Yarrowia lipolytica: one gene and its partners. The protein of the gene in region 1 interacts with the protein of each later gene in a biochemical or structural test. Links are inferred from orthologs where the notes say so. Each region holds a gene or a part of one and is shown in the gene's direction. Other genes may lie near its edges.

Region 1 (7,794 bases):
TACCGGTACAGTACCATAAGTTTTTGTCAACCCATCGTCCGTGGACCTAATGTTTCAGCTTACCACATTGAGCAGTCTGAGATCATTTCTAGCGTCAATCATGTATTCCAACGGTGGGATCATTCGTTTCAAATTAGTTGACTTTAGTTGGGAATTAGTTTAACTGGAAATTCTGCTGGGGGTTCATTTTTAGTAATCCCAAACGCTGACAAGGAAAAATACAATATAATTAGATATTAAATGTACTACTTTTTAACAGATTTTCAATATCAAACCCTTACATCAGACAATTTCCTAAGATTATTGTTGTTTCGATATCCAAAGCTAAGTGTAACTTGGTGATCATTCATAAACACCACTGCCAGGGAGATGACAAACATGACGCTATAACCTGGTGTAAGCAACATTGCCGTCTACTACACCTGTTCAGCAAGCTCTCGCTGTGTTGGAACCAGCAGATACGTCAAACAGACTACACACTACAAGCACGGTATCGCACACCCGTACTGGTGCTTTCGTGCTGTATATACAGACTTCGTAGACAAGGCCTCGCATCAAAATGTCAGACAAGGCGAAGGTTGAAAATGAGATGCACTTTATTGTTGATTAGCTCACATTCACCATCGAGGAGATGTACCATCGAGGAGGAAATGAAGCAGTGTGAAAAGCCGATGTTTTGTCAAATTCACGTGATCTAGCCTACTGGATCTAATCTAGGGGCTTACTAATCACATTGTTTACATTTCAGCCCCAAAAATCCACATTCATCTCCACAAAATAAACTTTGACTTGTTGTGAGCACTGTACTCCCAAGACTCACATCTAAAACATCGTCAGTCGTCCCTAACTCGCCTCACACAACCGGAGGGGCTTCCGGCGGTTAATTCCTAGAACGAAAACACTACACCCAGCACTGTGAACACAAAAACCACCCTAATTATCCTCTATACTAGCTCCCACGGCCAGTGTTTACAAAGACCCGGTTCTCTTGATTAGGTTAGGGTTGTACAGTATGCGGCTACAGCTGTAAACATAACATTGATCGGCGGACGGTGTCAAGGGCCCGATGTTGGTGCGTGGGAAACTGATAGAAGCGATACCATAGCACCTTGTACTGTACAGGGAACCTCTGGGAGTATGTAGGGTGCTTCTAAGGTGTATCTACAGAGTGTTTTGACAGAATTGATGATTTGGAAAGTGTTGATTTTGGGGCAGAATCAAACCCGGAAGGTAGATAACAACACTGCCAATGGACTCACCAGAACCACGACAGTCCATTGAAGCCCTTTCCACGCCAATTTGACGCAAATTCACCTTCTTCAACCTCATTCCTTCTGTTGTTTCGATACTATGTTGCTGTGACAACCCCCGAACCTAATGCCCAATATGGCAATAACCCAACTGAAGCCGAACAATATAAGCACTGGGCCATGGCCTACCACTGAACACACAACACTACATCACCATCTTGACACTCGGTCACCAATTACCCAAAAAAATAAAAGAAGATGTTCAAGCGACCAGATCCCTTGAGGCCTCTGGGCAGCGAGCATCGAGACAATGTCGTCAACCCCATGAAGCTGCGGGCAGGCAAGGAGAACAACGACGCCTATCACAACAACAAGTACACCTCGGAGAACCAGCCACAACCAACAACCCCGTACTACACCGGCAAGGGCAACTACTACAATCCCAGCAGCAAGCCCGCCGTGAGCAGTGCCCATGCTGCTGCCGCCGCTGCCGCCATTGCCCCTACAGCCTCCTCCAGAGCTCCCACAGCCGCTACTCACAAGACTCCCCGGAAAAAGGAAAAGCTTTCCAGCTTGTGCAAGACTCCTCCTTCTCTCATCAAGAGTCGAACCGGCGACCACTTCGCCCGGGGCTCGTGTCTGGGCGAGGGTGGTTTCGCTAGATGTTTCCAGGTGAAGAATGATGCTGGCAAGACCTACGCTGCCAAGACGGTGGCCAAGGAGAGCGTGCGCAACGAAAAGACGAAAAACAAGCTGCTGGCGGAAATCAAGATCCACAAGTCGCTAAAGCACCCCAACATTGTCGAGTTCGTCGACTGCTTTGAAGACGACCACAATGTGTACATTCTTCTGGAAATGTGCTCCAACCAGAGCATGATGGAGATGCTGCGGGCCCGAAAGGGATTTACCGAGGGCGAGGCAAAGTACTACATGGTGCAGATTCTCGGCGCTATCAACTTTATGCACAGACGACGAGTCATCCACAGAGACCTCAAGCTCGGCAATATCTTCCTCGACGAGCACATGCATGTCAAGATTGGAGACTTTGGACTTGCTACGGTTCTGGACAAGCCCACCGACCGACGGGTCACCATCTGTGGCACCCCCAACTACATTGCTCCCGAGGTTCTTGCTGGCAAGCATAAGGGCCATTCGTTTGAGGTCGACATTTGGTCTGCTGGTGTCATTCTATTCACCATGGTCACAGGTAAGCCTCCATTCCAGTCCAAGGACGTGGAGACCATCTACCAGCGAATCAAGAAGAACGACTGGAAGTTTCCCGCCGATCTTCCTATCAGCAGCGAATGCAAGGATCTTGTTCGACAGATGCTAGTTGGAGATCCTCACCAGCGTATCAACCTGGCCAACATTCTCAAGCACCCATTCTTCTTCACTGACTTCCCCGCCTCCATTCATCCTCAGGCTGCTAAGCTGAGACAACCTGAAACCCGAGTCAGCTACACTCAGTCACACAAGAATTTTGAGGCCATCAAGATTGCCGCCAGACTCGATAGCAGACACCTGGCACCCCGATCGACATCTCCTCCCGTCACAATTGAGCGTCAGGACGTTGAGGCCGACCAGCCAGCCAAGATTCTCCCCCAGTCTCTGTCTCCGGCTTCCACCAAGGAGAAGTACAAGATGGTTGACGTCAAACCCGATCCCCAGGGTCCCCAGGCGATTGAAGCCGACCGGCGAGTCATGGAGAACGTGCCTCAGTCTATGAGCCTCAAACCCCAGAATCAGCTCTTCAAAATCTTTCATGAGGCACTGGACAGGCAACTCCGAAGTGGACCCTCACACCACAACTCCAGTGGCCGGGCAGACGAGAAGACCATCTTCATTTCCAAGTGGGTGGACTACTCCAACAAGTTTGGATTTGCCTACCAGCTGTCGTCCAACGTCGTCGGCGTTCTCATGGAGCAGGAAAAAACCATTCTTATGGACATGCGGTACGAGGAGCATCTGTTCCAGGTGGTGATGGAGCAGGAGGCAAAGGACGTGGCCACCCGAAGCAATCCCAAGAGCAACTGGTCTATTGACACCTTCACGAGCACACAATATCCTGCCGAGCACAAGCACCGAATCAAGCTCGTCAAGCAGTTCCACAAATTCATGAACGACCATCTGTGTATGGTGGAGGACGAGAAGGAGATTGGCCTGGACATGGTGTGGGTACTGAGCTGGCAGCGGTCGGCCGGATTCGTGGTCTTTCACCTGTCCAACGACTCGTTCCAGTTTAACTTTGAGGATCACTGCAAGATGGTCATTAGCCACTGTGGTCAATCCATGATGTTCATCGACGACGACAAGATGTTCCACCACTGGACGCTGGACGAGGCCTGCATGCACGCAGGAGAGGGACACTGGAATCTTCAGGAAAAGTTGGTGCGTGTGTACCAGTACTTTGAGGGTCTCCTTAACTAGAGAGGCTCAGAGACTCCGCGCAACAATTGTTGTGTCATTAAATTAGCTAACTTAATAATGCATGATACCATAATATTTGTGGGGAGAAAGTAGGGTGTCTATATCGAAGTTTTCGTCTGAAAAAAGTGGAATCTGTCTCATTCATGTGGCGAATAATGAGGAGGCTAAAACAAGGAAATGCTAAAACGGAATAATCATTTGGTTCGAAAAAAAAAGATTACAGCACCCAGGATTCTCGTATGGTTCTTCCACTTACAATACCTAACTAGGCTTTTCTGGTGCTTGACTATGGCTTAATCGGACGGGAAGCCGTATTTTCACCAGGGATATGGCCGGAAACCAAAGACTCGATACGGGGAATCGAACCCCGGTCTCCACGGTTCTCAGAATGAGAGCGTGATGTGATAGCCCCTACACTATATCGGAAGGTTAAAACAAAACCTTATTGGGTCAATAGAACGTGATATGAAGACCACGTGACCATTTTTGATTTGTCTTATTGCGAGAGCCTGAGAGGATCTATGAGAATAAATCCAGTGTGGGGTTGTTAAGAGCACTTTAAATACATGCCTTAGATATAAACATGACTGTTAGAGGAGTGTTGTTGCTGGTATCATTGTTGTTGCTTTTCATGAAAGTGACAGCTACAAGTCCACAATGGTGAAAACTAATATCCCAAGTAACAAATCAGTTATTTATTAAGAGAGTTAGAATTATTGAAGAATCGTAGTTATAACCTGCAGTACGGTATGCACTATAAGAGTATACAAAGCATTATCATTAGCAATTTTGGCTGTTGTATTTTGTTATATTTACCAAGAGAAAGCCTCTTCATAATAATCGACCTTGGTACAATCCGTCGAATGAACCAGAGATAGTCGGATATCGTCGTTGAGAACAGGAGGGCCGCAGACCACCACAGCTGTAGTACCAGGACACCGTTCGACGTAGGCTGGCATTTCAGTAAGCATATCGGGTCGTCCATAGATGATATTGAGACGAGAAGAGTTAGTCAGTGAAGTAGACTTTTCAGAGTGTTTGGAATCAGACTCAGAACCTGTAGAAGCCAGAGCATTGGCACCACCGCCACCGGTGATATAGAGATTGACCTCGACTCTTGTATCTGCCAGAAGAGTGTCCAGTTCGGTTTTGAACCAGGTGAGACACGTATCATTCCGCACAACCCAGGTGAAGATGAGGTTCTTGGCTGTACTCTTTTGAATGACATCCACTGCGTACGAGTAAGTGGCAGTGATACCGATTCCTCCAGCAACGTAAATTGAGGAGTCGTACTTTCCAATGGGGTGCTTGGCACCATAAGGCCCCTCAATAAACGTTTTCAGTCGCCTGGATCCTCCACCTTTTGCCAGGAGGTTGGCTAAAGATAGAGTCTTGCCTTCTTTGGCCTTAAGAAGCACCGTCATCTTACCAGTCTCCAGAGCATAGGGGCTTTGATAGACGGTGAACGGGTGAGACTCCCAGAACTTACCGTTGAGAATGTAAATATAGACGTGAACTCCAGGGTAGATTTTCCACCAGTTGGAGTACTCCATCTCGGCCTTGACAATGAGCTGGTCTGAGTCCACAAGTTCAAAATCTCCTTTAACAACCCCTCCTGACCAGATGATGCGAGCGATTCTTGCTGCTCTGTCAAACGCCCAGACGGCAATAGTAGCGTAGACCCACTGCATCCAGCCAAGAGTAACACAGTGATACCACAGTCCCACAATAAAGGCCACAGCGAGGATGAGGTGGATGACAAGAAAAGTCTCGTACCACCTAGACCGGAAGAAATGCAAACCTTGGAACAGAATCAAAGAGCCACAGATGGTAGCTACTGTTCCCATGATCCAATAGAACTGTGAAGCTGCCACGCTGAAGAAATCTCGTTGGAGATACGAGTAACAAATGGAGTGGATGACGGCATACAAAATCATGACTCGAGAGGTCCACCGGTGGTAGATGTTGAAGGTATCGAAAGACCAGCCTGTAAGCCACATGAAGAAGTTGTTTCTTCCTCCAAACAAAAACACAATGGGTACCTGGGTGAAAGACATGATTCCAGTTCGGTCGGCAATGTATCGTGCCAGCTGGTCTCCATGGGCTTTCCAGTAAAAGTTGGGTGTGAACAGATTGTACTGAGTGAACAAGAAGATGAAGGCCATAATCAGGTATCCAAGGACCACGAGAGCCTGCATTCGGGTAGGAGTACACATACTGATGAAGCCTCCCAGATATCCTCCTGCAGGCTGGCAGTGTTTGTATCCCCACAGAGCAGGCATAGAGACATGTTTTCTGAACCTGTGACCCTTGATTTTCTGGTAGAGTCCGAAAAAGGCATGTTTTCCGAGATTAGAGGCCATTCCAACCAGAAAGATTAACATCCACCATGAAAGAAGACCAGCTCCGTAGTAGGTTCCCAGATCCAGTTGTTTCAGGAATTCATGCACAGTAGGAAAGTATTCATCATAAGCAGTCTGATTGAAAGCGACAGGAGCATGAAGAACTGCAGAGGTGTTCTGGTTGGATACGGCATACTTGGTTCCGTTCTCGTAGACCTCCATCATGTCATCCATGGTGAGGTTGAGCATTCCCCGCTTGTTGTAGATCTGGATAATGTCCTTGTCCAAAGCCCGCTTCCATTGCTCATCATCGGGAAGAACGGCACGGTACCAGATGGCTCGAGTCTGAATGAACGGCTTGTTATCCCATCTCGATTGGTAGTAAGCTGCTCCAAAGCCTTTAACAGGCTTGAAATCAAAATTGAACTTGCCAGTAGCTCCCTGAACAGTACTGGTGACGAGAAGGACATGATCACCAGGATGATCTCTGTAAGCAGTTACCAGGGTGACCAGAAAAGCAACGGCGAGAAGAAGGGTGAACTTCATGTTGGTTTTGACGCTCAGTAATCGATCTGCCCTTCCGTCGGCCCCTGTACGACTTTATAAACTGACACAAGTATCCAAGCTCTGGGCGTCACCCATTCCCGTCTTGGCAGGGCCTCCGAGGCTAGGCGCATGCCAAGACAAGGCACCGTGCCTGTCCCCTGATTTTATCCTTCTCCAGAGATTCTTTTGGGTTTTTCAGCTAATCAGATAAATCAATCTTTTCCATCAATAGGATTAGATCGTCATCTCAACCTTGTGTATCGGATGCAACATCGGAACCACGGAACTGAAAATGAACATTTTTAGCGAGTTATGTAAGAGTATACAATTGGGGGGTTCTGCAATATCTGTTCCGGGTTGACCTTGGTGGTCGAAGCAGCAACAGCGCACAATGGTCAATAATATACTCCAGTTGGCACCGTGGTGAAGCTGACCGCATCCTCCGTACACACTACTATACCAATCCCGGTACGTACACACTGGCTTCAGTGATCCTCGCAATTTTTTTTCAAATACTAATCAAACTAAGATGTGATTCAAAGCATCAATCCACATGACAATGTCCTACTTGCAAGTCCCTGGCTGATGGACATGGTGCCAATGCAGTTGATACACACACCAGGGATGATTGGTGATTGGAGGACACTTGTGTGTCATCAACCTGTCACCAGACAAAATTCACCGTCCGAAATCTTGAAAACATCGACCCAAAGAAGTCTACTACTCACTTGTAGTACAAGTACATACTCGTATCGTACCGAATGTACCGAAGTTGTGCCGTATATAACCTCCTCGTGCATTGTCTCAAGTGTACTGCGCCATCTACATGTATGTATACACCTTGTTTTGTAGCTTATTTTTTTTTTTGGTTCTCGCGACTCAAAAGTTGCTCATCAATGGCGCATTCTGACTTTTTGGTAAGATCTTGAGTGGAAGTAATGACTTTTGGTGACCAGGGATGGAACCTGAGACACCGATAGAGATACATATATAGATACAACTCTGGGTCATGACTGGTACTGTGGGTGTGAACCGTAAGACCTCCATCAGATAACATCGTGTGAATGACAGGACTGAGGAGGGCAAAATTCAATCGAATATTACCTTTATACTCAATATACAGCCAGATGGTGGTTCTTGTTTATGCCTCACCTACGGCCAATCGTCTCCATTACGCCAATTTGCTCCGGTCGCTGCTGCATTATTTCCCATTGAATCAATCGTACGAC
Region 2 (8,675 bases), on another chromosome or scaffold:
ACTGACCCGGTGTGACATAAACATCAACTAAGTACATGGCGATATGATACACAGTACACACGATTTCGAGTTCATTGGCATCGGCTGAGGGATCGCTTTACCTTAGGTACCAGTACCAGTACAACTACCAACGCTTCGTTTTTTTCAATGCTAAATAAAAATCTAAACATCCTCGATACTTTCTAAAGCACTGAGGACGTTCTTCATCAGCTGTCGATACTTCTTCTCACCAACGGCATCAAATGTGTCGATCATATCAGTGAGAGTGATTTCCAGCCGAGAAGACAACGAGCGTCGCTGAATCATAGCTGGATTCTTAAGATCCTCAACCGAGGGAACAGTCACATTGAGGGTCTGGTCGGCAGCAGGAACCGAATAGAAGATAGGTCCCTCACCCACAGAGACAGGCTCATCGAGGAAGAACTGTTTTTCATCAAGATCGTCTCGCTTCTGTCGATTCCGAGTCTTCATCTCTTCAATCTCCTTCTGGCGTTGTTCCTTGCGAGCAAACGTCTTCCTGTTGTGATCAATAAAAGAAGAATATTCCGTCCACTCGTGGCCACTGTTAGGGGGCAGCTCTTCGTAGCCTGGACCAAACTGTCGTCTATATTCCTCATACTCCTTCTTTCGACGCTCCATCTCCTTGCTCCATCGAATCTCCTCGTAAGACTGAGAAGCGGTGGTGGTTGGACTGTGGACGCGCGCAGACTTTTTGGCCTTGTAAAGAGTGACCATGGGCATAGTGTTGTTGGAAGACACCGTAGAAGCAACAGAGGTAGTAGCAGTTTTGACAGAAAGACTAGTAGTTACCGGAGTGCCGGGAGCTTTGGAGTCATGGGTAAAAAGAGAGATCCAATCCTCCATGGGGAGAGGAGTGAAATCGAACTCACCAGGCTTTCGTTGAGTGGTTGTGGGTCGGATAACAGGTACTAGACTTCCGATATTCTGATCATAGGTTCGGTATCCACCTGTGTAACTTGTCTGAGCTCCTCCAGGACGTGCAGCAGGAGGCAGATTTCCGTACAGAATTTTGTCCATGAGACCAATACTGGATTGTCCTCGTCGAGGTTTGGGCTGGAATATATCAAAGAAGCCCCAAGTTTCCTCCTCCAGCTCCTCTTCCTCCTTGATGACAGGACGAGGCTTGAACAGTCCAGAAAAGATATTGAATGAGTGCTTGAGAGGGTTGGAGGGACCCACTGTGGAAATAGGGAGCTCAGCAGTCATGACAGGGTATGTAGTAGCTGGGTTATTTTTATGCCATTCTGCTCTCTCTTTCTCAAAAACGGGATCGTAGAAGGGATCATACGCGTCTCTACCTCGATCGATAATTCCGGGAATATCTCGGAACTCGGGAAGTCGAGACTTAGGAAGACCCAAGGGATCATCAAAGTCGTTGGGCTCTCGAGGGGGATCAAGAGGAGGCATGGGCATAGGCATAATGAGTCTGTTATGGTAGTCAGGTTTCTTTCGCTTCTCAGCATCAATCTCTTCCTTCCACTTGGGAGGGGGACACTTCCAGAACACGTTACGAACATCATCCCAACAATGGAAGGCGTTCTTGTACGACAAGTCGATAGGAGCGGAAAGACCTCGTCGGGGTCGTCCATCCCCCTCATCGATGTCAAGTGGTTCCTGCTGTCCAATACGATTCAGAGTGTGGAACCAGGACTGCAGATTGGTTGCGACGTTGCTGAAGACACTTTCCTCGTTGGAGCTGTAAGTGTACTGCTCCCAGGGATCTACTGAGTTGTTCCAGTTTGCAGGAACGGGATGGCCCTTGTTGGTGGTGTAGAACATCGGGATTCGTCGAACCATGTGCTTGAAACCATCAGGGGTCTCGTACCAGTTGGCTAATACCAGATTGTCGGAGATGAGAGGTCGCATGGGGATTGGGTTGATACACTCTGGGTCCTTGGGGTTTCTCCAGTCACACTCAAACAGAGTACCAATCCACATGTTGGGGACGAACAAAGAGTACTTGAGGCCGGCGTATCGGCGTCTTCGCGCCATCATGAAACATCGAGTGTGGTCGTTGTTGTGAACGGAACACAACTTCTTGCCCCACACAGTATCTTGGCCGGGCTCGTTGGGATGGTACAAATCGTGCTGCTGAACATACGAGTTTTCACACTCGGATACTCGAGTATGGTGCAGATTGGGCCAAGATGAAACGGTCACTTGATGGTGAACAACAAAGCCATAGTAGTCTTCCAAGCCCAGCTCGTTGGGGTTGCAAACCCGATGTCGAGAGGGGATGATCTCGTTGTATTCATACATGGCCCAGGCTGTGGTAGCCAGTCCTAGGAAAAAATGAAGATGCATGTTGAGTTGATGATTATGAAATAAAATGGGATGGACTTGATGGCAGTAGATATACCGGTTTTTCCATAATTCAGGGAAAGCTGACCCATAACGAAGTCATCATAATGTATGCTACATAGTATGATGAGGAAGAGGTATCATTTCATTGAACATGGCTATAGAGCCATTTTGTACCATGGCATGTCAGTAGTTACGGGTATCTTTCGCCAATCCCTTACATTTTCAACTTTTGCCCGTTTGCATCACCAATACTTACTCTTGATAATTGTAGTTCCACTCGTCAATTTTGTTCCATGCACGGAAGCAGAGGAAACACGCTACACGCGATAAATACGTGCCATAAGTTTAGGACAGGTAGCTGCTGTATAGACTCATGCGAGACGGTATGCAGTATTATCAGCCGGCATGTTTCTACACCTCCGAATCTTTTTTAGAAAAAAGGGTATACCTACAATTCATTTTATGGGCCACAATCTGTCAACTTTCCAAGCTCCTCGAGACACCAAGTCCCTCAAACCACCTACGTAACACTACATGGATAACCACTTCTAAACTACCCCGTATTTACTATCATAAGAGTTCTTGGAGCACTCTCTTGGTACTGTACTGTACAGTACATACTGTACTTGATATCTACTACAAGTAGTACATACTCACCTTTCACATCTTTCATGTACCCTCAGGCCAGATTTAGACAACAACGCGTGTTCTGAGCGCGTATACTTCGCGCGTGTCCATGTGACATGCCCGCTCTCAAGCCAAGCTCATTGGCGTATATTAGTTACAGCTACATAATGTTGTTACTCCTACGAGTACCAACACAGCAGCTGTACTTGTACGAGTATGTACCTTCCTATCATTAGCTGAGTCCCTTTTTTTCCATCCCAATTGGGGATCGAACCACAACACACAACCAGTCTAAACAACATCCAAAGACAAGCGTGGTCAAAACGGGAATGTCGACAATATATAGACTGGTTCTATGGGAATTACACAAAAATACTATGTTAACCGACAGTAATGTTCCATTAATACATTCTCCTACTATAATCAGTATAGAACAACTCCCGTAATCGAACCCCAGCTAGCCAACCTTATTTGCCTCCCCATCGTTGCCGGGGTAACCGCATGTAAACTGAGATGCATACAGTTCTCATCCCCTAATACCCGTAACACGACCGACATCGCTACAACACGACATGAGTGAAGAAGAAGATTTTAATGCGATTCCGGTGATGGACCGAATGGTCCACAAGGTGAGTATCACGTGTTTTCCCCTTCCCAAACCCCGCGTTACTAATTCAGAACTGGAAAGCGCGACAATCAGCTTATGAAGAGTTGAAGGACAAGTTCACGACATCTCCAAGCGAAGCGGACCCCATTTTCGCGCCTTTCCTCGACAACCCTGGGCTGTACAAGAAGATTGTCGGTGACACGAACGTGGTTGCTCAGGATCAAGGTATTCAATCTTTGGCAGCCTTCCTTCAGTTTGGAGGTACCCAGGCTTGTTTGAGAACACGGTCTGTAGTGGTTCCTATTCTTGCTGAAAAGGGACTAGCTTCCGCACGAGCAGGCACAAAAACTTCTTCTACAGAATCCCTGTTATGGTACATTGAACTGGACGTCCCTGATCCTGTTGTGGAGGATGTTGTTGCTTTGTTGGGCCATAGAACACCCAAGGTGATCGCTGCCAACCTGAAGTGTTTGGTGGACATGGTCGCAGCATTTGGAAAGACAATCGACCCTAAGCCCGTGTTCAAGGCTCTTCCTAAGCTGCTTACTCATGCAGACAAGAATGTGCGAGCAGAGGCGATGAACTTCATTGTTGAGGTTCAAAAGTGGCATGGTCAGCCTCTGATGGACGCAATTTTGCCCAGCTGGAACCTCAAACCTGTACAGCAGAAGGAACTCGATGAGAAGTTTGCTGCTAACGCAGCTGCTGGAAAACCTACCCAAGCTCGACTTCTCAGATCTCAACAACAGGTGCTTTCTACAGCTTCGGCCAACGGAATCGAGTCCGACGAGATGGATGTGGACAATGGGGGTGATGAGGAGGATTCGGACCCTCTGGCTCTGGTGGAAGCCAAGGATGTGCTGTCTCAGGTTCCAGCAAACTTTTACACAGAAGTTACATCAGCCAAGTGGAAGGAACGAAAGGAGGGGTTGGAGGCAGTTCTACCTGTACTTCAGAGCGGAGGCCCCAAATTACAGGAGGGAGACTACGGAGAACTTCTCAGAGCTATGGCTAAGGTGGTTCACAAGGATGCCAACGTGCAATGTGTGCAGGTGGCTGCTCAGTGTATCGAGACAGTGGCGAATGGGTTGCCCGGTAACGCGTTTGCACGATACCGATTCACTCTCCAAGCTGTTCTGGAGCGAACGAAGGAGAAAAAAGCTTCTGTGGCTGAAGCACTGGGCAAAGCTCTCGATGCTATTGCTTGCAAGCTCCCCTTTGGCGAGGTGGTGGAAGATACATTGCCGTTCGTGTCCCATAAGACTCCCCAGGTGCGGATTGAGTCTCTGAACTTCATTCTGCGTCTTTTGTCGACTATCAAGGAGTATCCTAGTGACCAGGACTTGGATCATGTGATCAAGGCGGTTCTGAAGACACTTTCTGATACCCAGGCTCCTGTCCGAGAGATTTCCATGCAGGTTCTTGGTACTGCTCGAAAGCTGATTGGAGAACGGGCCTTTGAGCAGCATTTCAAGGGCGTTGACGATATCCGAAAGACGAAAATCGTCGAGTACTACGATAAGGCAACAGTGGTGGCTAGGCCCAAGGCCAAGCCTACCCCAAAGCCTGCTACTCGCGCTCCTCCTCCTTCTGCCTCTGCTTCTGCATCTAACAAACGTCCTTCTGTGGCTACTCCTGGTCAACGGAAACTGGTTCGACCCGGTGGAGGTGTTATTCGAAAGCCCTTTACTGGATCCAATGCCGGTCCTTCTTCTGGATTTGGATCTACCGACAGCAAGCCAGTTCAGTCATCTGGATATGGTCAGTCTTCAGGATACGGCCAATCTCGAACTGGGTTGATGAAGCAACCTCTCAAGAAGATTCCTGCAAGCCCGAGTATCGACTCTTTCGGACCAGCAGCTTCCTCAGCAGATATTGAGGAACTAGAGGAGCTGAGAGCCGCTAAGGAAACTTGGATCAAGGAGAAGGAGACATTGATGGCTGCTTTTGAGGCCGAAAAGCAAAAGTTTGCAGCTGAGAAGCAGAGATTGCTTGACGAGATCAACTCTCTGCAACATTCCAAGGCAGACATTCTAGAACAACACACCAAAGACGCTGTTTCGTTCAAGAGCAAAGAGACACAGTTCTCCCGGATGCAGGGGGATTTGCAGGCTGCTTACAAGCGGATTTCTGAGCTGGAAACTGCTGCTTCTGCTTCTCAGGCTGTGAAGCAAGAACCCCGAGAGATGTCACCCTCTGTTGACGCTGAGGCATCGTTCAGAGAGCTGTCGTTGGGTGGGGAAGGAGGAGGGAGTGAGAGAGTTGGAGGAGACAGACGAATATCACGTGACTTAAGCGGAGGAAACAACTTTAATGCGGGAAGCAACGGCACGCGTGAATTCAGGCCTGGTCATGGAGGTAACAGCGGCTCACGTGACTTTGGTGTCGGTAACCGGGGCTCTCGGGACTTCGGTGTTGGGAACGGATCACGTGACTACTTGGGAGGAAACGGACATGACTACGGTACACGTGAGTCGGCGGTGTCACGTGCCCTATCTCCTGACAGACGGGATTCATATAGACCTCAGGCTCAGGAGTCGTGGCAGCGTGCTGCAGAGGTTACTAATCAGTTGAAGGCTCGAATCGAGGCCATGAAGGCGAGACAGAAGATGTACTAGTACTGGATTTGATAATTCTAGGGTTGGAAGCTGATACCAGGAGAATGATGATGAATGGCAATGTTCATGTAGGAAAATGGTTAACACTTAATGGCTGGTTTTGATGTGTAGAGCTCGCGGACTGAATAAAATACATTGATATTGACTATTTTAGTGATTTTGGTGTTGTCTGTATGTGATCAGACGGCGGATATATGGTTAGGTCTGATTGGTTTGTTTTGGATGTTTTGAGTGGTCGTGCAGTGCAAGTACCCGTAGGGGACAATAATTGGTCATATTAGGACTAGTTCACGTCACAATGACTGCCCTCTTCCTCTCCATTCACAATCTTCAGCAGTGATTGGATGGTGGAGAAGAGCATGACTAGCACTCCAAATCCTGCCACCAGATAGTAAGGAGCCTTCTGTTTTAGACTCTTGTTCTTGGTCAGCTTCAAATAGCACAGGGGAGGCAGGATATATGCCATGACGCAAGCTGAGGTAGCTCCGACGAGTTCTAGAATAACACCCAGGTTACAGGTGATCAGAGCAACACACATGGCGGTGAGCATCATCACCGTGGTAGTAACAATGTGTCTAATCCACTTGAACTCATCGCCAGGCCAAAAGTATGTAGTGAAGACTTCTCTGCAAACGAAGATCTCCAGAGGCAGGGTGGTGAGCATGTTGAAGCCAAAACAGAATCGCGCAACGTTGGCCATGACATCAGAGGCTGGGAAGTTGTTGAGAACGTTTCCCTTGGTCTTGTCGACGAAAATGACGAACCCACCCACTCCCATGGCCAGACAAGCCACCATGGAGACTCCGGTAGACCAGTGGGTAACTGTAGCGAATCTATCCATAGTAGGTCGTTTCAGAGAGTCGTAGATCAGCAGAGAGTTGTGGTGACAGACAAAGGCGAAAGAGATGACTGACACTCCCTGAAACAGTCCCGGGCTGATACTCAGAGCGTGTCCATCAAAAGTGCCCTTGTACTCAGGAGCAAGCTGGGGTCCTCGGACAATCACAAGAATGACAATGACCAGCATGGATACCAAAGCCAAAGCCGAGGCCTTGGCCAAATGGGCAATATTTCTGTTCAGAGCCAACGGATAAGAGATCAGACACGTGCAAATAACAATAATAAACTGTCTGTTGACGAGGATCGAAGGTCCCGAGTCCTCACCACCCAGAAGAGACGGGAAAAGTGCTCCCAGAACATGCGGAATAGTGTCTCCGATAATGACACAGAACGCGATCGATCCACCAAATGCAAAGCAGCCCTGGGCCAGAGAGATGGCAATGAGACCGGTCTTACCAAAACATTTGCGGCAGGTGGCTTGATACGTGTCTGTACCTGACAACTTGGCGTTGACCACGATGAGTCGAATCGTCCAGTCGATCAGGAACGTCAGACCAACCAGTAGCAGGATTCCCGCAATAAGACCACTCTCATGCACGGCGTAGGGCTGGCCGATGATTCCGGCGCCGATAATCGAGTTGGCCATGTTCATAAATGCCATTTTCATGTTGGACTTCTCAGATTCAGCCGTGACCTCGGCTAACCCGGGATTGTTGCCCAGTAACGTCTGGGTAACGTGTCCGCCATCGTCGTTGTCGCTTTCAACCTGGTAGTCGTCCGATTCTGCCAAGCTTTCCAGCTCGACGTGATTTTGATCCGACATGTCGTGATCTGTCTGTGCTGGTAGATATATTGAAACTCGAAATTAGCGCCAAGCGCGCAGCTTGTGTTAAGCGAAGTGCATGATGAGATGAGGTGGTTAGGGTTCGATAAGGGGGAGATGGGGGGTTTAAAAGGGGGTCGCGGTTGCATGCACGTGAAGATATGAGGTATCACGTGATATACTGCTTCTGCGGGCTGGTTTGGTCTCTTTTAGAAGTCTCAAACACGATTGATTCGGCTTTATTGTAGGAGAAGCTTTAATAACACGTTTACGCTTTCATACATGAGTTGATATGAAGGGGGTATAAAGTCGGCGTGTTTTAGGGGTGTATTGATGATATTGAGGAGAGAAGATAATTACTAGGTGAAGGGGTGTGGAGCGGTATAAATACTTTTACTTCTGTTCTAGGTGTCTCTGATATATTTTGGGAATCTATAATTGTGATATACGCAAGAGACATGGTGGGATTTTGGCGGTATAAGTAGTATCATTGGAAAGAGGAGATAAAGAGGATTAAGATGGTACCAGACTTTTTTGTATACCATATGGGTATGATACCACTGGCGTTGTTCTAGTATCTCTCAGCGAATCTGAAAACCTTCATAGAGCTACAGTAGAGGTATGTACAAGTTCTTCAGATGTGTTCCATTGCTGGCGTGCAAGTAGTCAAACCAGACCAACGTGCAAGAACATCCATTTCTATAGTATTTGTACTCTCTGCCTCTCCACATATCGTATACAGAGGCATGGTAACTGGGGTTAAGTAGTGGAACTCATGAAGGGCTGAGTGAAAGACTGCGGAAGATAGGTCATAAGATTGAGAGGGAGCTCCGAG
Region 3 (7,710 bases), on another chromosome or scaffold:
ATTGTACCCAAATCGATATATATCCACTAGATTTCAACTAACTCTATAAATATTTGTTCCGACATGCGGAAATTGTCCTGAATTTTATGTTCCGCATTTTTCATTAATATTTTTTTTTCTTTCTGCATATACATTCATTTAATTATAACTTTGCTGTGAAAGAATAACCTTTGAAATGAATGTACGCTTACACGAATATTACTAATTAAACACGTTTAGTGTCATGGTCCAACTTGGCACGTACCTATTTCCAGTAAAAAAATCATAAAAAAACCTGGTTCAGTCCGTGTTGTATGTTGGTCCACATAGCTTCGCGTGTTTGTTCGTCATCGGGAAAACGCCACTCCAGTCTCCAGTTCTCTAATCTCAATCCTTCCATTGCCCTCTTCGTTTGCATTGCCTTTGAAAACGTCTCCTTGTGGTTCTTCTTCGTCATTGGTTTGGTTCTGCGTCCCCTGTGGTGACTACGCGCCCTGCTACGCTGTTCTCTCGGTGGCCTCGGCCGCCTTTTACGCTTGCTACTGTCTCTACTCTCGCTCATCGTGAAGTGCTGGCGGTTGTCCATCGTAGAAACACATCTGGGCTTCCTTCAGGAATTGAAGCAAACCCTGTTGGACATGTCCCAGGGTGGCGTCGTCCCCTGAGTACCGGAGGGATCTCTCCATCTTCCAGATCCCATAAGCCAATTCCCGCAGATATTTGCGTGTCTTGACTTGTTGATGTTTCCGGGGGGCGTCACTGTTCACATGCCCTGGGGAAGAGGGGAGTACTCCACATTTCGACTCATAATATTTAATGGAAATCCAAAGGCGTGCCATTAATCCCTCACTTTACTCGACAGATTTTCAACATATTTTGTTGGTGACCTTAATTTTTCAATTTTATCTTGTTAAGAATCACTTGAGACCCCAATAACTACAGTACAAGGGTCCTCCACCTAAATACCATGACATGGCCAGCGAGTGACTAAGAAGCTTGGATCTGGTAGACTCAGGGAGTCTCCTCTAGGAAAAGTGGAGGACGACTCTGCTCTAGAGGGGGAGGTTGCAACTGAACAGCGACCTGGCTCTTCCAACGGCCTGGAACTTGGTGGGATTTGACAACTAAGTGCATACAGCCGCCAAAGACGACGATGAACAGGAGAAAAAGAGATGTATTGAACTGTTGGCTTACTTTCTGATCGACATTAATTGTTCCTTATTCGGTCGTTGAAACCAACTCAGCAAGTCGACAAGTTTGCTGTCCGGTTCTACTACAAGTATTGTATTATCTCAAGTACGGTACAGACTTGGAATCGGTGACCCTTATGGGTCTAGGCTGGTTGATGTAAAATGACAGTCCGTAAACTTTACACGCCAGAGAACTGGATCTGGATGTCTTTCGGGTGGCCCATCCTTGGGAACCAGATCCTCAATGTCAAATCAGCCAGGTTGGTATTTGCACGAGTACTTACTTGTCTGATTAAAATGCTATAACATTACAAAACATTACTTCTGGCAGTAGAATACAATATATATAGTGTACCGTCTGTAATCTAGTCACAACTTCTCTGACGAGAATGGTGGGAATTGATCATTCTGCCCCTGGACATGGCCAGACGATTACCTGTTCTGTATGGGCCATGGTATTGCCCCCTACTCTCCTGTAACGCCTCGGGTCACTACACTTGTGACCTCTAATTTACTGCTGGAATCCTGGACCAATATCCAAAAGATTTGGAAAACACGACAAAAAAAGCAAACAAAAAACAAAAAACAAAAAAAACAAAAGAAAAAAAACAGAAAAAAACATAGCATATCGAAAAATGCTTGACTAAATATCCCAAGAATTCCAAATCGAATGAAAGTATTCAATTACCAAATACTTGCACTGCTAGTGTAAATACTGTACACTTGTGTATAGCTCATCGCCTATTTCTCACAAGTTTCGATAATTATTCATTAACACTCACAATAAAATACATCAACTTCACTCTGTTCCAGCTGGACTTCCTTCTCCTTGTTCCCAACCCTCGCCACGGCGACAGTATCTGGTGATTGACTATTCTCTGAGGCTTCATATTCCTTGGATTTGGGATAGCAAGACTGAGCTTTCTCTAGTATGGAACTGATGTTGTCTTGGATTTTGATTCAGTACACATCCTCTCTTGTCAGTCGCAGCTTCCGCTCCAGCAGTAGTGACCTCGGATTGGTCGTTTCTCTTAGTCTTCTGACTTGGAATTGAGTCGCCTGTGCAGTTGGCTGGAAGAGGCGTTACGACGTATGCCACAGCCCTGCTGTTTCCACTCCATCGTGTAGGTGTCGACATTGCGAATCTTTCAGCTAATTTTTCTGAGACCAGACGAAAACCCGGGTGCTACAATTGAGCGATTCTCCATGGCTGTGATTTGTCATGAGCACAGTGAGGTCAAGTTTTCGGTTGAGACCAGTCAGACGGACGATTCCGTCATCGACGTGAGCTTTTCCAACGTCAATGCGCTCTTCTGGGACAGGGACCACGAGACTTCGATGGAATGTGAGAAGGATGATGGCGAGTCCAGTATGGATCCCGACATGGTGTCCATTGACAAGACTTCGTTCAAAGTGCTTCCTCCGGTGGCCGGATACTGCCCGATTTGCCTCCGGATTTCAGTGTTCAGCGGTTCCCTACTGCTGTGGATTTGACGAGAAGCTCAAGTCTGCGATGCTGCGAGACGATCTTCCTGGGAGACTCTGATTGTGGATCTGGAAAATGTTGCGTATCATCAGCTGTGGCTAGTGTGCAGTGAGGACGAGACGGAAATGTGGAAGTTTGGCAACAAGAAGCTTGGTCCTGGAAAGCCCGATTTCGACTTGACCAGCGTGTTTGAGTGTGCCGACGAGGATGACAGTGATGTTGTGTTGGAATAATTTGCATGAGCTCCCGGCTCGATTATTTATGTATTTATAATTATTTGTAGCTGTTTTCAGCAGTGTTTATTAAATGGAAAGATGAACGTAGCTTACAGATGTCGAATGTCTCAATGACGTGGGCAGTTTTATATTGCAGACTTCAGATCAACTCATAATAATAACCCCCGGTCTGTGAAGTATGGTCATGTAATTTCCATCTCTCCATCCTCTCTCGGTGTTGAGTTGGTGTTTCCATACTCCGTCTTGGGCTGTTGTAATGGGAAAAAATATGTCCAACTTGTGCGACTGGTGAAACAAGAAATTCATGTTATGAAAAAAAAAAAAAAAAAAAAAAAAAAAGGGGGGGGGGGGGTTGAGTTGAGACTTTCACGTGACTTTGAGAGCTGGGTTGGTCTAGAATCACAGGTCCAAAATTTCACTAAAAGTCGATGGGGAGGCTGTTTGCTGTTCAAAAGTACTGGATATTATCTATGGGGAAAGAGATCCCATACACACGAGTCTGGGTTATTGAAACGTTTGTTGAGTTATGCATGATTACATTATTTTTTCTGCATTAAATAAATTTATCAAGTATTTTTAAGATTTACGCCAGTAATTATGTATGATTAGTGGACGTTATTGTTAAGGATGTTTTGCTCTAACAAACATAAATGTATTATGTTACTATAAAAGAAATAACAAAAACATTTTCTAAAAAACGTACAGTACTGTAGCAAATTGAAGGGGCAAAAGTATACACAGACCAGTGCGTGTATCTCAATGTAGCAGGATGAGGAAATATCCATGTCACTTGGCCATGATTCAGAGACTGATACAGTATGTACTGAAACCTTGATAATATTAGCTCCAACGCCTAAATGATTTTCGCGACACGAAACGCGACTCACTTATACATCAATCTCAAATGAGCAAAAAGAGCATTCTCAACGACTTGATTGCTGCCACCGAGGCGGATCTTTCTCTCGCCAAGTCTGTGTCGGCCAGTTCCAAGAAGGCGCGGTTGTTTTCGGAACAGCTGGAGGTGCTGCGAAGTGTGCAGAAAGGGCTGGGTGGACCGCTTATTTTCAAAGTGGCCGATCTCAAGAAGTACGTCGACACCAAGTCGCTGGGTGTGCTGGAAACACGCTGGGGCAAAGTGCTGGATAAACGCCGAAAGGCGCGTGAGGAGGCCGAGGAGGAGAAGCGACAACAGGAAGAAACAGCAGCACGTGAACGAGAGCGGATCAAGCAGTCTGCTCAGGATGCAGTGGTGAGGGAACACGAGGAGCTGGTGGAAAAAATCAGACGGGAAAAGGGCAAGGCTGGAAGAGGGACAAGTGGATTTACAGATCCTCTGCATGGCACAGACTCCTCCATAGCCACCGTTGATCTCACTGATGCAGTTGATCTGACCGATGATGCACCACCACAACAAATGGCAGTAGCAACTGCCAGCACCTTTTACCCCAAGCAAGGTACTGCTGCACATGATCTACTAGTAGCGCTAGTTGGTATACCCAACCCCACGACTAAGGAGCAGGTTCTCAACATCACGGGCCCTGGAAAAACCTGGGGTGGATTATCAAAGCTGAAGAGCGAGGGGCTCGTCACCACTTCCAAAATGAACTCGACATACACCTACAGCTTGACGCCAGCTGGAAAAGACCTCGCCAACAAGTTGAGGAGATTCTCCACCCAAGAGAAGCGGGTTGGCCAAGAGTTACGGGAGGAAATCGAACGACAAAAGCGACCAAAGACAGCAAAGAGGGTGGATACCCAGGGGTTTTCCGATAAATCCAAGCTGGCTTCATCGCAGCAGGTGACAAAATTGAATCGATATTCAGCCGACGAAGATATGGACGTGCACGTCGTCCCCATGAGTGATGGAGCAACAATGGCAGCAGCGGAACTACGCCATTCAGGAGTGGTACGACCAATAACAGAGGCAGCTGAAGTTACGTGGGAACCGTCATCCTACGAGGTGGTTCTGATTGTAGACAAACGAGAAAATAACCGAGAAGAAGCACAGCAGGCCATCTCCGGACTGAGTCAGAAGAACGTGACAGTAATTCCTTCAGTGTTGTATCTGGGCGACTTCTTGTTTGCAGCTCGCCACAAAACTAGCAAGAAAATCGCCGTTCTGAACACAATTATTGAGCGAAAGAGATACGATGACTTGAACTCATCGATTGTGGACTCTAGATACGAAGAGCAGAAGAGTCGGCTACGCAAGTGTGGAGTCGAGAACGTTGTTTATTTGGTGGAACATTTCTCCATGTCCCGAGCTGCGGTCCAGATCCGTGATAAGGCCATTGCCAGTATTCTGGGGCGAGTGGTGGCTATCGATGGGTTTTTGTTGAAGAAGACCAAGAGTGTGGCGGATAGCTGTGACTACATGGCCAGTCTTTATGAGTCTGTGAAGATGTGTTACGAGGGAGTCACTCTGAGCATAGGGCCCAAGGAGATTGGAGGCTTCTCTAAATCTCGTGATACCTTTTCGACGATGATGCTGACGGCCTGGCAGGACAAGAATCTGAAGTCGAACCATTCCCTCAAGGTACTATTCATTCAGATGCTCATGACCATTAATGGTATTTCGGCTGAAAAGGCTCAGGTTATCCAGAAGCTGTTTCCTACGCCTCGTCATCTGATCGACAAGTACAGGGATTTGGAGGAGTCTCATGGCAAGGGTTATTTGGAGTTGCTGACAAGAGGACAAGTTAAGGGTGTGGGGAAGGCTGCCAGTGAAATGGTGTGGGAGGTTTTTGGTAAATTATAGGGAGGTACATCAGGTTTCTTGGGTTCTAGATCTTGGATACAGTAGGATGGAAAGTGGGTGGGTATATCAGGTAGCTTCAATATCATTATTATACACTTTTAGTGCGCCTGAATTCGGAATAACATGTACAGATGATGTGGAGATTGGAAAACATCAGATTCTGGACAAATCTCCGAGTCACAGTCTGACAAAATGAACGATTTTCAAGTTTATGAAAGACGAATTATGCAATAAAGCCGTTGGTGGAGATGGTTCTACGACTACCTAGTAGCGCTTTGTTAGTTTGTTCTCCAGGAATGGACTGGCTCTGTAATCCACGTTTTGACCTCAATCCAAAAGAATTGTTTCTACACGAAACAAATGGAGACCAAAATGGAGCAAGGGTATGTGTGTAGAACGATGTATAGTATATGTCAATCAGTTTTCATTTGACCTTTTGTCTCATATCTTCCAGTAAACAATGCCACATCAAGACAAAAGTTGACTCCAAAAAAGATGCTAGAGGGAAGTAATGACTCCAAAAGATTGCTAGAACTCCTTAAATAGCCGAAACAAGGAGATAACACTCTAAGATTCAAAATAGCTGCATTTTCCAAGGCAATCGATTCTTTCAGTCTTTCCCAGGCTATCTCAAATCCCCCCGAGATAGTCAATTACTTGTAATTATAAGGTGTTAATTAAGTTCCAGTTTAACCGAATACGACAAAATCGACGGAAAAAGCCAGCATCCAGAAGTGAACATATACAGCATATTTCAACAGCAGATTTACAGCAGGTACTATGTACTTGTACAGCGATGGAATACCCGAAAATTCTTCGGGGAATCCTCAATTTGAAGGACTTTGTCAGGATTCACGATTTTTCCTACAGTCAGGGATCGATATTGATGATAATTATGCCACAATGCAACAATGATGAAGGGGGAATGACTCAATCTACATCTTTCTGCTTATTTATTGAATCTCATAAGTTGATCAGTTTTCAAGCTGAGCAGACTTTCAGCTGTTGTAGAGGATTCGATGACTAAGAGCGGTAGCTTGTCGAGCGAGAGACGTGAAACGAGAGAATGCCACGAAACTGCCGTGTGAATAGTATGTTCCTGGTATTGTGCCGATGATAACTACACAGGTATATGAGAGGTCCGGGGGTTGGAATGCTTCTCAATAATCCTGTCCTTGATACGTAGCTGTGACGGGCTGGAAATCGATTAATGAGTCTACGGTATAGATTACTCTCGAGGTGCAACAGGCGGGATAAAATCCCCAAAGAGTTCTGTAGACCCAAAGAGTTCAAAGAGATGGACTGCAGTCTGAACAATCTTGTCTCTTGCATCAAAAGATGACTTCGCTACAAGGCCTTAACTGATCTTGCTAGTCTCACCCTGAACCGTGAGAGAGACATAACATGTTGGAACTGGGGGTACTCCAGGTACAAGAAGAGAACAGACAGAAGCTGTTGATGGTGAAACAAAGCAGGAGATGACTGGTGACCGAATACGTGAAGTCATGGTAGCATTCGTGAGACAAGTCACAGGTGTCTGAACCATGTCTCAAACGCAACCTACAGAAATACTGAAGCACTATAGTAGACAGCATGCCTGGTTAACCAGAGGCATCTGGAGCAGACGAGATTCTGAATAAGTCGATGATTGATATCAAGTCAATAATGGCCAGATTCGAGAGCATGGCCCAAATCAGAGCCCAACGAGCCTGAGAGGGACTATGAATGACATCGAGTGTCTTGTATGTACTCACTGTAGACCAAGGATACATCTCATACTGTGGCAGTGTTAGTCACCAATTCGTGGAGAGAAAAGTTTAGGAAATGAGCCATGTAGATGGCGTAATACTGAATAAGAAGTTGTAATTGAGCTGACTCTCTGGGGTGAGACTAGTAAAAGGGTTACTAAGGCTTGTAAAGTGGATAAGTCTTCATCCTCACAAGGGAAGTCTCTTGATCAAACATTGTGGCACCGTAATGAGTACTTTCCACGTGACTTTTATATGTAAATCACCCCCATCTCTTATCACAAACGGCATCACAATGCTACATTGGTCTGCG
Region 4 (7,403 bases), on another chromosome or scaffold:
GAACCACACGATAATGAACAGGGGCGAGTTCATGGCGTTGAGGGCAATGGTGTCGTTGGCGGTCACTCCGTACTTGTTTCGCAGCAGGTGTGACATTTTCAGCACCTCATCGTACAGCTGCTGGTAGGTGAAGGTCTCCACGTCAAACAGGTCGTCGTACGAGTCGCCGCTGGGCTTCTTGCCCTCGATGGGCTTGGGGTAGACGATTGCCGGGTTGTTGGGGTACTTCTTCACCGCGTCTTCAAACGCGTACCAGTATTGCACTCGGCCCTTCCAGGCGTTGTAGAAAAAATCCAGACCGTTGGTCATGGCGCCTCGGATCATGTAGGCATCTTCGGAGATGAGCGTCTTGGCCTCCAGGTAGGCGGCTCCAATGGCGGCGGCAGCAACTAGTCCAGCTGTCATTGTGGTTGGGATTTCGACAAGGTGATAGTGGAGAAGGGGACTTAAAAAAGGGCAGCCACGGTTAATATAAGGGCCAGCATGAAAAAAATGGGGTATCTGGGGTTGAACCTTAATTTTGAGACTAGGGGTTCGGGTTTGTGGGGGATGTGGAGGAGATATGGGATTTTTGAAAAGTGCGTTTTGATTCTCGGATTTTGTTATTTTCAATATCGTTTTCATTTTTCAAATACCTCCAAAACTGGGTATTCTGGCTGAACCACCTTTTGGCCAATGTGGGGTCGGCAGGACGTCATCACCTCGGCTCGGTACTAACTTTATTTGGCCTCCAGATTACATGCTTTAACACATGGCAACGGTAACGCACCGACGTGGAATGATTGGTTGTGGCGATGAGGAGTCAGCGCGGAAGCGACGAGCGCTTAGTAATTTGGTCACGTGTGTGCTATTTGACAACGCACCCCTGATTAAGTGTGGAGTTCCCAAATATCCGCGCTTTTAGTCGCCCCAAAAATTGCCACCACTATTCCCAATCCATGTTACCCCCCCCTTTGAAATAAACTCGTCGGGAATTTCAGGACAGCACATGAAGGTTCGGCACACACATTGCGCATTTGCGCGGGGATAAGTCACGTGGAGAAAATAAGACGCATGTTTGGACGCAATTGGGGCGAAAAATGGGGGATTTGGTGTTGGAAAAATCAGGAAAATTGGGGGAAATGGGAGGAAATGGGGAAAATGGGGAAAATTGGGAAAATAGAAAAAAAACAGGCAAAAATAGACAAAAAATAGACAAAATAGAAAAAAAAGAAAGAATAGAAAAAAATAGTGGCGCATGCTGAACAGTCACGTGAGTCCATGGCGAGGGCAGAAATGCGCAGTCACGTGAGCTGCATCTCAGCACAGAAAAAAAAGATAACACGCTCGCAATTTCCCGTTCCGAGTCTCCCCAGCACCGTTCCGACATTGAAACTCGTTCCATTGGCCAAACCATGTGATTCTAGGTTCTGTGGGGGAGGAGGGAATGACGTGGCAAAAATGGACTTGGACCTGGAGAATGAGTAAGCAAGGAACATGTAGCTGATTCGGCGCTGAATTGTTCTACTTACGTGAAATTTCGACGGCGTTCATTTGCGTTACTCTATCTTCGACGGCCCAGTCATATGTTTTATCATTCTCTTTTTGCGTCTCACTTAACGCCAACGGTATTATGTTGCAGTCTAACCTTTTCGCGCAACCGAAAAATAATGTCAATATTGTCGGTTCATTTTGTTTTTTTTTCAATTATTTTGTTTTTGTTCGATCTGATGTTCCCCGTGTTCTCGATTTAACGTTATTTATATAAATTTTCCGAAATTCAACGTGAATCAAAATAATTCAAAAAATCGAAATAAATCAGAAAAAATCAAGAATAATATTCCCCAACAACAACTACAAATAGATTCGTATTATTCCGTCCTGCGGGGTGACTAGCGCAGATAAATCCGCTAATGCATGACCACGTCGTGGATTACTCACCCTGATTACTGGCCATCATGCAGACAAACCAGATTCGGCGTTAGCGCTTTTAGTGCACGAGGCTCAGATGGTGGCTTATTAAGCAATGTGCGTCTAGTAAGCGACGTAGCTTATTAAGCAAAGATGCTTACTCAGCGGAGTGACTACTAAGTGACGAGACTTACTAAGCGGCACTGACAAGGGTACTGCAGAATCACATGTGTGGAGAGCAGCACCTGTTTTTGTCTCACGTGACTGATCACATGACCAAACAAAAAAAAAAAACAGAAAAAGCTCCCCGGCACCCTTCAACCATACGAGTTGTGTGCGCGTCCTTCTCCTTAGATGACGTAATTTAAGTGTGACCAGTCACATGACCACCCCCTTCACCGCTTCTTCCTGTATCTCACGTGACTGACTGGCTGGTCACGTGACCCCCACCATCACCCACTGCTCCCCCATCTCTACTGCGTCTTAGATGCATTGATCATGTGTAATGAACTTTAAATAATAAAGGTCGAAATTTCGAGGGGAAAATTGGACAATTTGAAAACTGTTTGAAATAGAATGTCATTATTTTTGCCTTATTCAGCTGACTCTGAATCAGTCTTTGAAATTGTGTTGTCGTCCTTAGTCAGCATTCTGGAGACCCCCCGTTGCACTGTTTGCACTGTTTGGACCATGTATAATTGTAAATAGGGGTCAAAACAAACAATGCGAGGCAGGCTGTCTGTGTGGCAGAGGTAATGAGCGACTGAAATGATTAGTCACAGGACGCGAGAGGGGTGGGAGTTATGTAACTAAAGAATTTACTCACGGGTTTTATATCTATCACGTGACCCTGCTCTCCCGCTCACTGCTAAGCGCTTACTCAACACCGGATCCACCTAGCAACGGGCCCATGTCTCGGTACATAGCGTTCAACGGGGAACCATAATGGTCATAACCATAACACGAGTGTGATTAAGACGAGTTGGATTTCCAGACAGTCAATTGGTCTGCTGGAAAGGGAGTTAGTAAGACGGCGTTACGTAATTGAACATACTCCCTTGATACGATGACTAAGTTGAGTGATCAAGCCCCCATTTGGGCTTTGTCATCAACCTCCTGATTTTTTTTTGATCTTGACACTGTTTGTATTTATACAAAATATAGTTTGGGTCTAAATGTGTTTGTGTAGTTTCAAATTTCAATCACATTTTATTGACGCTGTGTTGGGATTATTATTAATATAAAACTACCATTGTAATTCACTCATTTCATGCTACAAAATGCACTTTTCAGAATCGAAAAATATCCAGTCAATCGTCCCACAGACCCACAGTTTTATTTATAGGGTTAGGGCTTCCCAATACGGCTCGTCCCAAACATAAACAAGCCCGAACCTTATCAGTTCACTAACAAGTATATGTGTAGATGTTTTTGAGATCTTCTTGAGCAGAGTCTGTGGAGTTGTTTGTGCGATAGAAGCGAACGTTTGCACCATTACATTTTTGTGCGTGCCCATCACCTTGTCCTTGTCGTCCCCACCACATTGCCAGTGTCACCACTACATTGCCAGTGTCACCATTACACCATCTAGGTCACCCCAACTACAACACCTTCACCACCTTCATTCCTCCACTCCACACTACGATGAAAAAAGTGGAACCAATCGAGTTCCTCAAGGACCGGGTCTATCTCGGAGCATATGCGCACACCCCCAAGGACACCGAGACGACCGTCTACTTCACGGTCGACGATGCTCTTCCCTACAACCCGTTTCATCTGGATTTCGGGCCTCTGAATGCCGGTCATCTGTACCGATTTGCGGTTGCTCTTCACGAGATTCTGGCGGAGAACGAGGACAAGGCGGTCATGTTCTACTCGTATCCTGATCCCCGATACCGAGCCAATGCCGCCTGTCTTCTGTGTTGTTACATGGTGTTGATCCAGTCGTGGCCTCCTCATTTGGCATTGGCACCGATTGCACAGGCGGAGCCTCCGTTCATGCCGTTCCGCGACGCCGGCTACTCGACTGCTGACTTCATTCTCACCATCCAGGACGTGGTCTACGGGTGCTGGCGGGCCAAGGAAAAGGGCTTTTTGGACCTGCGCCACTTCAATCTCGACGAGTACGAGCAGTATGAAAAAGTGGACCAGGGCGACTTCAACGAGCTGCCTCCTCATTACATTGCGTTTGCGTCACCGCAGCAGGAGGACTTTCTCACCCCGCTGGACCACGCCTTCAACAACGTGCTCGACTACTTTGAGACCCACAACGTGCAGCTGGTGGTGCGTCTCAACTCGATTCTGTACGACGCTCGTCAGTTCGAGCAACGCGGAATCAAGCACGTGGACATGATCTTCGACGATGGCACCGTGCCCACCATGGACATGGTCAAAAAGTTTGTTGGCGCGGCTGAATGCATCATCGAACAGGGCGGCAAGATCGCCGTTCATTGCAAGGCCGGCCTGGGCCGCACGGGGTGTCTGATTGGCGCCCATCTCATCTACTCCTACGGCTTCACCGCCGCCGAATGTATTGCCTACATGCGGTTTCTGCGGCCAGGAATGGTGGTGGGCCCCCAACAACACTGGCTCTACCTCCACCAGAACGAGTTCAGAGACTGGAAACGAACCATGGTCGTCAGCGATACCCCCAGCTACAAGCTGGCCAACCTGCGACCCCTGGTGCCCATTGCCGACCAACAGTGCAAATTGAGACAACAATTGAGCGCTCTCCAGGACCAGATCCGGCGCAAGGAGGAACAATTGGGCTCTCTGGGAGCCTCCGCAGTAACCCATGACTCCATTCTGCCGTCAACCCCCCCGCCAAAAACACCCGAACGATCAATTCTCGGAGACATGGACCATTGCAACTCGATTCTGCCGGCCCCTACTCCCGGACAGCCCCGCAAAAACTCCCCCAGTCCGGCCCATCGATCTGGAAGTGTAGGCATTTCCGCCATCCGTCCCAAACGGTACATTTCCACTTCCCATGACACCGTCTACAACTCGGACGAGGAACGAGAAGGCTCGATCGCCTCGGCGCGACGAGTGGTCAGCAGCAGACAAATGCCGTCGCGTCAGCCGTCGCGGTCCGTGTCTGTGTCAGTCTGCGAGGACGTAGAGGGCTCGCTGATTGTCACGGCCTCTCATTCGCCCTCCCGACGACCCTCGCACCAGCAGCAGCTGCGGTCGCCCTCCAAACAGCTGGACTTCGACCAGGAGAACGACATGAAAAAGTCACCATTGAGGGTTCGGAGCGCATCCCGGCGCCAGGCATCGGTGCGACAAGTCAGTGGCGAGACCGGCGTGAGAAAGGTCTCCAGAACCAAGAGGTCGTAGAGATTTGGCGGTATTTAGATGACTGCATGATTTATCCACTGAGATGACTTGGTCACATGACCCATTCAAATGACCCAATCACATGACCCGATCAGATCACTTTGTCATTAACCCCCCTCTCACCCAGAACAGCTATCGGACACACTAGAATGGCATCCCACGCTAACAGATACCACAGTTATATGCATGGAACAGTATGTATGGATTAATAATGAATCACGTAATGGAATGGTCGTGTAGTGGTACACTAAGAGTGCGATACCTACGAGTACTCGTGTTCTGTGGAAGTGTGGATCTCCATGCCACGAACAACTTTTAGTAGTCATTGTCTCGCTTCTTCGTCTCCCGGACCTCCTTCTCAGCCAGATACTGTGGTTGAATGAGATCAACGCCGAGTCATTCAGATCTTTTCAGATCGTTCTCATGCTGTTCGGCTAAGACCCGGCCTTTGGAGAAGGGCGTGTTCAGGGGCATGTGTGTTCTCGTGCTCGACGAGACGGTCAACCTGATCGAAGGAAAAGGATAGGAAGTCGGCATCAAGTACGAGTACAAGTACTGTACAATACTCGTAGCGAAAGTACCTGACTCTGCGGACCCAAGAGTTGCCACACACCAACAGGCAGATCGAGGTGTTGAGCAGTACCCTGCCTTTGACTTGGGTATCACCCTGTCTTCACCATCAGACAGCCCTCAAGGGAAGCTGATGTGAACGGAACTGGCCTCGAACTGGTCGACGTACTGTTGAACATTAGTCGCGTATTACTTGGACCCTCAAATATGTGAGCTGTGTCCAACTAATGAGCAACTAATGGCCGCTTATCCGCTGCCCCAACTAGCACATGTCACGGCGGAAATCGCCCATTCAGCTGTCGACAGAATTTTTCATTCTGGTTTTGCGATGCGGTACAAGGACATGGACACGTGACTTCACCATTGCTCCTGTACCCCAGATGGTTGTAGATGACGGAGTTCTGGTTGTACCCATGGTGGCATCTGAGCGTATGGGTAGATGTCAGAAGAGAAAAAATATTTAACATAAAATAAAATATAAATACAAATATAAAATAAATATAAAAAACCTATTCTCTTACACATTACTCAAGATGGTGACACAACGGTGACACAACTGACACAAACAATGCCACAAACAGACCCAAACGACACCACAGATACCCCCACCCACCCAGTCTCAGACACAGATAGATATGACACAGATACCCTCGTCGTAACCCGATACGATATGAAAAACAGAAACTGACACAGATACTTGTACTACTATCATGCAGTCTCGGTCACATACACATCTCCAGCTGACTCTGTCGGGGTACCGCATGCGACCTTGATATGATCCGGTTACTTGCGCTTTCCTGGAACTCTTGCTACGCTCCAGTTCTGCCACTTTTTCCAGCACGGTCCCAGCCAATGGTCTCCATATAGTCACCAGAGCAGGGTTTGATGGTGTAGGAAGTGTGGGTGGACGAGCGTTGCGAGGTAGCGGGGGGCGCGAGGGGAGCGAAGGGAGTGAGAGTGGATGTGGACCGTTGGTTTCTCACACTCGGAGCTCCCTGGCCAAGTGTGAACTCCTGTGACCTCCTACTGAGTCGCTTGCCTACTCTTTCCGAGTGGATGCCACGCCCATTCAGACTTCTGTCCGGCAACCCCCGGTTATTTCCTGGGAGCCGCTCTGGATGGCCAAAGTTGATCATTAGTCAGCTAATACCATACCTGGTTATTACTCATCAAAGTTCCCACCAGCTACTTGACATTGTTCTGTCTTAAGGTCCTACTACTGTGCAGGTGGGATCTGACGCCCGCCAGATGTCGGAACAAGTGGTGTGTTTGCAGTTATGAGACTCTTGATCTGTCGATTGTTTTGAGCAATGTCGAATTCTCAATCTATGACAAAAAGCAGATTTCGTTGTTTTTTGTTGATTTATTCTTCTTTTCCTTTTTCTTTTCTTTTACTGGGAATTCCCAAAAACCTCATCACATCTCCATCCAATTTAACCGACACAAGAGAGGGATATCATGTTCGCCGCACCCCATGTTACCCTGCCGACGAATGTACAGTATATGTGCAACGAATATTATTCCAAATGGTCTGATACGGCCCGATACGAGGTTTTTTTTATTATTATTATTTAATTTTTGAGGTATTTTACGGGGTATTTATT

What was found.
Region 2: the proteins of YALI1_D34395g (region 1) and YALI1_E33527g form a complex in vitro, tested with the Saccharomyces cerevisiae proteins (2 studies listed by BioGRID, with this or other methods). The link is inferred for Yarrowia lipolytica from reciprocal best matches to the Saccharomyces cerevisiae genes CDC5 and STU2.
Region 3: of the proteins of YALI1_D34395g (region 1) and YALI1_C20953g, one has a biochemical effect on the other in vitro, tested with the Saccharomyces cerevisiae proteins (2 studies listed by BioGRID). The link is inferred for Yarrowia lipolytica from reciprocal best matches to the Saccharomyces cerevisiae genes CDC5 and MUS81.
Region 4: the proteins of YALI1_D34395g (region 1) and YALI1_E19201g form a complex in vitro, tested with the Saccharomyces cerevisiae proteins (2 studies listed by BioGRID, with this or other methods). The link is inferred for Yarrowia lipolytica from reciprocal best matches to the Saccharomyces cerevisiae genes CDC5 and CDC14.

What each region holds. Positions count from the first base shown.
Region 1 is NC_090773.1:3,437,986-3,445,779, forward strand, and holds YALI1_D34395g (uncharacterized protein), read left to right. Parts: upstream 1-1,508; coding exon 1,509-3,677; downstream 3,678-7,794. Other genes in the region: YALI1_D34446g (uncharacterized protein), read right to left, coding at 4,490-6,565. UniProt on the Saccharomyces cerevisiae protein: Protein kinase required for the cell cycle where it is involved in mitotic exit. A component of the fear (CDC14 early anaphase release) network which promotes CDC14 release from the nucleolus during early anaphase. Phosphorylates SCC1/MCD1 and NET1.
Region 2 is NC_090774.1:3,347,715-3,356,389, reverse strand, and holds YALI1_E33527g (uncharacterized protein), read left to right. Parts: upstream 1-3,524; coding exon 3,525-3,581; intron 3,582-3,630; coding exon 3,631-6,177; downstream 6,178-8,675. Other genes in the region: YALI1_E33540g (uncharacterized protein), read right to left, coding at 163-2,325; YALI1_E33485g (uncharacterized protein), read right to left, coding at 6,461-7,840.
Region 3 is NC_090772.1:2,091,441-2,099,150, reverse strand, and holds YALI1_C20953g (uncharacterized protein), read left to right. Parts: upstream 1-3,795; coding exon 3,796-5,649; downstream 5,650-7,710. Other genes in the region: YALI1_C20964g (uncharacterized protein), read left to right, coding at 2,376-2,632, 2,693-2,888.
Region 4 is NC_090774.1:1,916,611-1,924,013, forward strand, and holds YALI1_E19201g (uncharacterized protein), read left to right. Parts: upstream 1-3,534; coding exon 3,535-5,229; downstream 5,230-7,403. Other genes in the region: YALI1_E19172g (uncharacterized protein), read right to left, coding at 1-624. UniProt on the Saccharomyces cerevisiae protein: Protein phosphatase which antagonizes mitotic cyclin-dependent kinase CDC28, the inactivation of which is essential for exit from mitosis. To access its substrates, is released from nucleolar sequestration during mitosis.